Linked DNA regions of Callithrix jacchus. The protein of the gene in region 2 binds, or shares a complex with, the protein of the main gene of each other region. Links are inferred from orthologs where the notes say so. Each region holds a gene or a part of one and is shown on either strand. Other genes may lie near its edges.

The links.
Region 1: the proteins of PTPN6 (region 2) and KLRC1 are in contact, whole or in part, in an NMR structure (PDB 2YU7), measured with the Homo sapiens proteins. The link is inferred for Callithrix jacchus from reciprocal best matches to the Homo sapiens genes PTPN6 and KLRC1. Residues at the interface, in NP_002822.2 of Homo sapiens: Gly117, Gly118, Glu121, Arg136, Ser138, Leu139, Ser140, Val146, Thr165, His166, Ile167, Lys168, Val178, Gly179, Gly180, Leu181, Glu182, Ile199, Glu200, Glu201, Ala202; in NP_002250.2 of Homo sapiens: Ile38, Thr39, Tyr40, Ala41, Glu42, Leu43, Asn44, Leu45, Gln46, Lys47.

What each region holds. Positions count from the first base shown.
Region 1 is NC_133510.1:12,586,488-12,590,827, forward strand, and holds the start of KLRC1 (NKG2-A/NKG2-B type II integral membrane protein), read left to right. Parts: upstream 1-1,471; 5' UTR 1,472-1,625; coding exon 1,626-1,650; intron 1,651-3,972; coding exon 3,973-4,188; intron 4,189-4,340. UniProt on the Homo sapiens protein: Immune inhibitory receptor involved in self-nonself discrimination.
Region 2 is NC_133510.1:21,210,772-21,215,073, reverse strand, and holds the start of PTPN6 (tyrosine-protein phosphatase non-receptor type 6), read right to left. Parts: upstream 2,900-4,302; 5' UTR 2,740-2,899; coding exon 2,726-2,739; intron 1-2,725. Other genes in the region: C9H12orf57 (protein C10), read right to left, coding at 3,797-3,948. UniProt on the Homo sapiens protein: Tyrosine phosphatase enzyme that plays important roles in controlling immune signaling pathways and fundamental physiological processes such as hematopoiesis.

The DNA of each region.
Region 1 (4,340 bases), about 8.6 Mb from region 2:
GTATCCCTGAATTGGAAAGACTGCTCACAATCCACAGCTGAGAAGGGTGAGGTCAAGATTCGAGGCTGTTTCAGAAACTACTGTGGAACTAAAGTCAGCAAACCTCTACTGCTGACAGAGATGAGTGAGTCACACAGCAATTTCCTGTGATTGACTCAGGCCACAGTTGAGAGGGGTTTGAGTGAAGATTCAGGGCCATTTTAGTATCTTCTATGGGACAGAGGTCAGCAAGCATGCCCCGGGAGAACAGATGTATGTCTTCCAGGAAGTCTCTGTGGGTGAAGGACTGATCTCAAGTTGTGGCTGATGCTAGCTAAAGCCAAGTTAGAGGGTTGTTTCAGGATCCACACGGAGACTACAGTTGGTACATCTACCTCCTGAGACACTAGTGTGTGGGTCTCCTCCTGGACCCCTGGGAAAATGGTTTTGGCAGCATGACCAAGGCCTAATGGGGCTAAAGGCAAGTCCACAGGAGGATGGGTCCCTTTTCAGGTCTGGAGATGGAATCACCATTGGCAAACTGCCACTTGGGTGCAAATCTATTCTCTAAAACAACCCTCCTCCTCTGTCTTGGGTTCCACTGGCATTTTACAAACTCCTACTTGAATTCCGAAACTCCCTCAAAGGAACTTTTGTCTGTGGTTGGCTGGAAAATTATTGTTGCTGAGGGGTGTATGTGTGGGGGACCACCTATTCTGCCAATTTGCTGACTTTCTTCCAAATAAGATTTTAAACTTATTTTTTCCCCATACATACTTTGACTTGAGTTTTTGTCAATTACAACTAAATATTTCTATTAAAGTTGAGATAATTTGTTATGGCAGAAGATGAATAAATGAATAACATAATGAATAGCTGCTCAGTATTCCAATCTCTGGCATGATGATATATTTCAAAATTGATTAATGCTTTATCTTTCCAAGATACATTTATTTTTATCAAGAGCAATCTGAACATTAAATAATCTGCTTAAAAAAATAAAATTAAACACAAGAATTTAAGAACTAAGAGAAGTTAAGACTATAACTTTGGCAGTGATGATTTTTGTGCCAGCTACAATCAATTGAGTAATTACTGCAGTAATTTCTCAGGTAATTGGTGAAAAAGATCAGTAGATATCAGTTCATAATGTTACTATGAGTTTTAGAATGCTTTCCCATTATAATGGAAGTGACATAATAAAATAATATAAAGAGGTATGCAATGTTAAGATTTAGCAACCTAGTTTAAAAGATACTCTTAACAAGGTGAGCCTTGGCAATGTTTGTGATCAAGACAGAAAAAAAATTCTCAGAGGCACTTGAAAAATGGACCAACTAAATGACACTTTCAAAGTCAACCTTGTACTTTTAGTAGACCACATTATCCTATATTTTGGAGGTGTGTGATGAAATAAACTGATTTGAAATAGCCCATGTGTAGAATTTCCTGTTCAAACCTTAGTAACACGTTGATAAGAAATCTACTATTTCCACTCTTCACTCACTCTGAGTCTTCACGGGGCAGTCTGCAAAGATCACAGACACTGTTTGTTCTTGTCCTGGATTTATGCCTTTAATTTCACCTTTTATTACTCAACTATAGCAGGCCTTTTTATGAGACTAACCTGGCCTCTCCACTAAAGGATGTGTGACTTTCTGGGGACAGAAGGTATGTGTTGCTACTCTCGAACGCGCTACTAGCCTACCTCATTTAGTGGGTGATTATAAGTGCTCAATATGATGCATCAGAGCTTTAATTAATATACAATAAAATCAAAGTAGAACATTGCTGTCTTCATTTGAATAACTAAGGTTAAAAACCTAAAAAATTAAATATGTTGGAGGATTTCTTAAAGTTTTTAAATTATTGTTTGTGGAAAACTAGTAGGTCTGTTTAATATAATTTAGATGAAACCTATTAACATCACAATAATGAACAATTAATTTTATATTTTATAATCAGTACATCATGTAGCTTTGAATAATCATAATTGATATTTAGTTTAGCCATTATAGATTATTAAAATAAATTAATCAATTGATGAAAGCCAAATACAATTTCTCAGACACATAGATTAAATAAATAAAAGCGGTTTTTATTTTTAATAAAAATCAGAATGAGGTAGATTACATAAAATGCTAAAGGTAATACAAAAATCAAAATACTTTTTAAAAATTGGTCAAAATATTGCAAAGAAAAATGTAGCACACGGACATAGGAGACTTATCTGAAGATTTATTTTCCATGCTTTCACTGACATGAATCAGAGACAGTAACATAACAATTGTTACTATATAATAATCAAAAAGCTAACGCTTATTGAGAACTTTAAGTGCCAGGTTGAGTGGTAAATGTTTTACATGCAACGTTTTATGTGTTCTTATTCCCGGTTTAGATTAACAATCTGGGTTATTAAACACAGAATAACTTTTTAAAGGTCACACATTATAAGTGTCAAAGCCAGAATTAATTCTAGATCTCACTGACTCCAGAGCCATTGACTAAACGATTTAATTACATTACCTGAAATTTTACAAGTGCTTATACAACTAACGTAGCCATTACTCACTTTGGCAACCGTAAAATGTTTCTATAAGTTTAAATGAAATGTGCTTTAACATAAATTACCTATACTTTCGTTTATCATTTTATGGTTTATAGTTTATCCAGGAAATAACTTGCCAACACTTCCATCAGGTAAGTATTAGCAGTTTTTGTAGTGTTTGTAACACTGTTTAGGTTATGAATAACTTAACTGTTGCATAAGATTTTCCGATATATACAAATATTGAAATTTTCAATAATTTCTTAAAATGTTTCAGCCATTAAGAGAAACCCATTTAATACCCCATCAATTTTAATAAATACGTGTACATTACTAAATAAAACGTATTTATTGCAAGAATATATATATATCACCCTTACTATTAATCATGTGCAGATCACATAGTCTAAACATTACTGGATTTCAAAATTAAAATAAAAAATGAGTGCAGAAGTATCTATACTACAACATTTTAATTTTTAATACAAGTTGTGTTTGGTATTATGTTAAAATATATCTGTGGCATCAGACATTAACTAAGAAATATCTTTTCATTCCTGAACTTCTTTATTCCTTACTAATGTATTGCTTCTCATTGCCCCAGCAATAATATTTTGTCAAATGTAGAAAATCTTTTTTTTTTTGAGATGGAGTTCCACTCTGTCACCCAGGCTGGCGTGCAATGGCGCAATCTCAGCTCACTGCAACCTCCACCTCCAGGGTTCAAGCAGTTCCTCAGTCTCAGCTTCCCTAGTAGCTTGAACTACAAGTGCATGTCACCACGCCCAGCTAATTTTTGTATTTTTAGGAGAGATGAGGTTTCACCATATTGGCCAGGCTGGTCTTGAACTCCTGACCTTGTGATCAGCCCACCTTGGCCTCTCAAAGTGTTGAGATTACAGGCATGACCCACTACGAGCTTGGCCCTAGAAAAATCTTAAAAAAAAGCCAGGCGCGGTGGCTCAAGCCTGTAATCCCAGCACTTTGGGAGGCCGAGGCGGGTGGATCACGAGGTCAACAGATCGAGACCATCCTGGTCAACATGGTGAAACCCCGTCTCTACTAAAAATACAAAAAATTACCTGGGCATGGTGGCGCGTGCCTGTAATCCCAGCTACTCAGGAGGCTGTGGCAGGAGAATTGCCTGAACCCAGGAGGCGGAGGTTGCGGTGAGCCGAGATCGCACCATTGCACTCCAGCCTGGGTAACAAGAGCGAAACTCCGTCTCAAACAAAACAAAACAAAACCAAACAAACAAACAAACAAAAAAAAAAACTATTTCCCATAAGAAGCTTGTTTAAGCTGGAAGAAAATTAGAGAAAGAACTTTAGATTCTTCAATGCAAAATTAGCTCTAATACTCATTCTCCACCTCACCCTTTTAACTGCGCTAGAGAGCTTGTATACAAACCATTTATTAACTTCTTAACTACTCTTATTATACAGCACAGTCCCTGACATCACACACTGCAAAGATGGATCACCAAGGAGTGATCTACTCCGACCTGAATCTGCCCCCAAAGCCAAAGAGGCAGCAACGAACACCTAAGAGCAAAGAAAGCTCAATTTTAGTAACTGAACAGGAAATAACCTATGCGGAATTAAACCTTCAAACAGCTTCTCAGGATTTTCAAGGGAATGACAAAACCTATCACTGCAAAGGTAAAGCATTGAAAAGCTCCTCAGTATAACAGTCTAGGATGTGCAGCTTGGGGTACAGGGATATGTGGGGAAAGAGCAGGGAGTGCTTACATATTTTCTATTTGCAAAGATCAGAATTCCAAGTGGAGACATGCGATTTCAATATAAAACAT
Region 2 (4,302 bases):
CACCGCTGCAGACGGCATCAGGGGGCAGATGGGATGGGCACTGCCACAGCCCATGATGGAAGGTGGAGGGAGAAGTGCTCCCCCAGAGACAGCATGTGTCAAGGCAAAGAGGTGGCATGCACAGAGTTCATGTGCGCAGTGCCTGGCTGTGAGCAGAGCTATGTGGCTGGAGCAAAGTTGCTCTGAGAGGTTGGGACCCTGCTGCAGAGGGTCATTCAAGGCCAGGCTGAGAAACTGAGGATGGAATCTGCACAAGGGGAGGCCTGGCCAAGCTACCTGGGAGGAAAATGGCCGTGGAAGGGATTCAGGACTAGAAGACTCAGTAGGAACCCCGTCGGTGGGGCAGACAGTGATGAGGTGAGCACTGGGGCAGGAGCAGAGATGAGTGTGAGAAGCAAGAATCAGTAGGGCTGGGGAGCCACACACCCACAAACTCGCCAGTACTCTGTAAGCAGGTTGTCACTTTTTCTTTTTCTTTTTTTTCTTTTGAGACAGTCTCGCTCTGTCACCAGGCTGGAGTGCAGTGGTGCAATCTTGGCTCACCAAAACCTCTGCCTCCCTGGTTCAAGCAATTCTCCTGCCTCAGCCTCCAGAGTAGCTGGGACTACAGGCACGTGCCACCACGCCCAGCTAATTTTTTGTATTTTTAGTAGAGACGGGGTTTCACCATGTTGACCAGGATGGTCTCGATCTCTTGACCTAGTGATCCACCTGCCTCGGCCTCCCAAAGTGCTGGAATTACAGGCTTGAGCCACTGCGCCTGGCCCCTCCCTCCCTCCCTTCCTTTCTTCCCTTCTTCCTTCCTTCTTTTCTTTTCTTTCTTTTTCTTTCTTTCTTCTTTTTTCCTTTCTTTTTCCTTTCTCTCCATTCTCTCTCTCTTTTTTTGAGACAGAATTTTGCTCTGTCATCCAGGCTGGAGTGCAGTGTCACAATCACAGCTCACTTCAGCCTTGACCTCCTGGGCTCCGGTGATCCTCCTGCCTCACCCTCCCAAGGAGCTGAGACCACAGGTGTGTGCCACCATGCCCAGCTATTTATTATTAGTAGTAGCAGTAGTAATGAGGTCTCCCTGTGCTTCCCAGAGTGCTCTTAAACTCCTGAGCTCAAGTGATCCTCCCACCTCCCAAACTGCTATGTTGCCCAGGCTGGTTTCAAACTCCTGAGCTCCAACGATCCTCCCACCTCAGCCTCCCAAATTGGGATCACATGTGTGTGCTACCTCGGCCGGCCAGGTTTTCACTTTCACCATCCCAGGTCCAACAGAGTCTAACCTGCCCTGGCCCTGCCTCCGCTCCTCTAGGGTCCTCTGTCACTGCATCACAGGCAGACTGTCCTTTTTTTGTTTGTTCCCACGTTAGAGCTTTGTGCGCTCCATCTCCTCTGCCCAGGGATGCTTGACTCTTTTTTTTTTTTAATAAAGACGGGGTTTCACCATGTTGGTCAGGCTGGTCTTGAACTCCCGACCTCAGGTGATCCGCTTGCCCTGGCCTCCAAAGTGCTTGGATTACAGGCGTGAGCCACCACACCCGGCCTAAGGATGCTTGACTCTTGATCACCACATCATTCTTTTCTTTTTTATCTTCTTCCTTCCTTCTTTTTCTCTGTTTCCTTCCTTCCTTTCTCCCTCCCTCTCTCTCTTTCTTTCTTTCTCCACCACGCCTAACTCCTCTTCCTCCTCATCCAGGTCTCAGCTCAAATGTCACCTCCTCAGGAAGCCCTCCCTGATCCCTCCAGCTAGTAATGTCACCTGCACACCCAGTCACTTGCTAGCACATGAAGCTGGTTCATTTTCTTTTTTCGAGACAGGGTCTCACTCTGTTGCCCAGGCTGGTGTGCAGTGGTGCAATCACCACTCCCTGTGGCCTTGACCTCCTGGGCTCAAGCCTCACACCTCAGCCTCTCCATAGCTGGAACCACAGATGTGTGCCACCATACCCAGCTTATTTTTTGTATAGACAGGGTCTCACTATATTGGCCAGGCTGGTCTCAAATTCCTGGGCTCAAGCAATCCTCTCGCTTCAGCCTCCCAAAGTGCTGGGATCACAGGTGTGGACCACCATGCCCAGCCGAGGCTGTTTCATTTTCTGCATAACACTTTTGAGAATCTGCAATGATCCAATTTATTGGGTTGTTTGTTCAGTCTGTGACCTCCCATGGGAACATAAGCTCCGTGAAAGCAGGGACCATGTCTGTCTTGTTCACTCCAGTATTACCAGCATCTTAAACAGCACCCTGTGTGCAATAGATGCTCAGCACGTATCTGATGAATGAATGATGCAAGGGAAAGGGAAGTGAAAGGAACCGGAAAGAAGATGGGACCAAAGTCAGATAATGGGAAGAGCAGGGAAGTTGGCTGGGCAGGAGAGGCCTTCACGGGTGGCCTCTAACTGCTGCTATGTTTGAGGTGATGTGAACTACCCAAGGGACAGGTCCCAAGCAGGAGGCAGAAGCAGGAGCCCAGAGGCTGGAGGTAGAAATGCAATGGAGAGAAGAGATATACACTTGTCAGGGGAAAATGTTAAAGAGGGGCCAGAGGGGCATGAATGAGCCCGGGGGTCCTCACACCTTGCGGGAAGGGAAGGTTCATAGGGACAGGAAGCAGGCGCAGGGCAGGGCAGCGGCAGATCGCACTCAGGCTCACACACATGTTGCAGTGAGCATGAACAAGGCCTCCCTCCCTCCAAAACTAACAGGAGACTGGGACCCAGGTGGTGCACGAACTTACCCACGGGACAGCATCTCTCTGGAGGGATGAAGTCACGGCAGAGGGCCTCAGGGGGCGGGGCTGAGCCAGTGGCACAGCTGTGCACCGTGGCCCAAGCCAGGTGAGGACGAACCTCTCAGAAATCAGTCACTTCCTCCTCAATCCAGCCTGCCAGGCCAATGGCCCCGCAGGGACAAACCCTGGACTAATAGTCTCCAGGAAAAGGACAGGTGGGGCGGGGCTGGCCTGAGACCGCCCACAGCAGCCAGCTTCCCTGCAGCCCCAGTGCGGGAGTCCAGCAGGCCCTCCCGCCGGTCCAGGGCTGCCTTCCCTCGGGAGAGGAGGAGCCACCTGGAGCTCCACCTGGAGCTCAAGCTGACAGAGCGGCGGGAGGTTGGGTAGGGGCAAAGACCAGGAAGTAACCCTGGCTGAGGGAAGAGCAACCAATGGGGGAAATCTCTCAGTAGGCGCAAACCAAAGGGCCTAAGGAAAAGCCCTAACAGCCCAATTCCTCAGAGAAGGAGGTGCGCCCTGTGCACGCCCACCCACCCAGGGCGCTGAGGAGCCCAGTCCAACCTCTTACCCTGCCCTGGGGAAAGGGGAGGAGCCTCAGCCCTCACTGGAGCAGGGTTAGGCCCAGCCAGGAGTATAGGAAAGAGCTATTCAGGAGGATGCGGCCTGGAAAGGAAGAGAGAATCTGGGGAGGAGAGAGGGAGGTTGTCAGGTCCACAAAGACTGACACGGGGCACGGTGGCTCACACCTGTAACCCAAGGTGGGTGGATCACAAGGTCAGGAGTTCGAGACCAGCCTGGCCAAGATGTTGACACCCCGTCCCTACTAAAAATACAAAAATTAGCTGGACGCGGTGGTATGCGCCTGTAGTCCCAGCTACTCAGGAGGCTGAGGCAGGAGAATCACTTGAACCTGGGAGGCGGAGGTTGCAGTGAGCTGAGATCACGCCATTGCACTCCAGCCTGGGTGGCAGAGTGACAAGAAAACTGACAAGAAGGCTAAGTCGCAGACACATTTATTATTGACTGGAACATCAAGGCCTTTCCTCCCCTGTTAGTGGCACAAGGGAGGGCTAACTCTCAGGAAGCAGCCACGCTGCCACCAGCAGCAGGTCCATGAGGTGGCAGCGTCATGGGTGGCAGGAACAGTGCCTTCAGCTTGCCTGACAGGCTGGCAATCTCGGGATCCTGGGCTTCGTAGGATTTGACCAAGCGGGCAAACTTGAGGACACCTGCAAGAGGGAGTGGAGGGTCAATGCTTCTCCTAAGGACCAGCGTGCCTAAGACAGGTGGAGGGGGTGGTAGTCTGAGCTTGAGCTGTTCCCCCACTGGCAGGGCAGCTGTTGGCAGAACAGCACATGCAGGACTCTGCCCCATGCAGTTTGGATCAACTTCTTATTCTACGTTGGGCACAACTGGATGGGGTGCATGAATGAAGATGTCCCAAAGCAGTGCGCTTCTTGCCCTCAAGTGAACCATTTTAGCAGTTTAGTCACAAGAACCCCAAGTGTGAACACCCACAAGACCCCAGGTCTGTAGCTGGAATGCAGGAGTGCTATGGGGCAGCAGAGCTGCCTGTCAACACC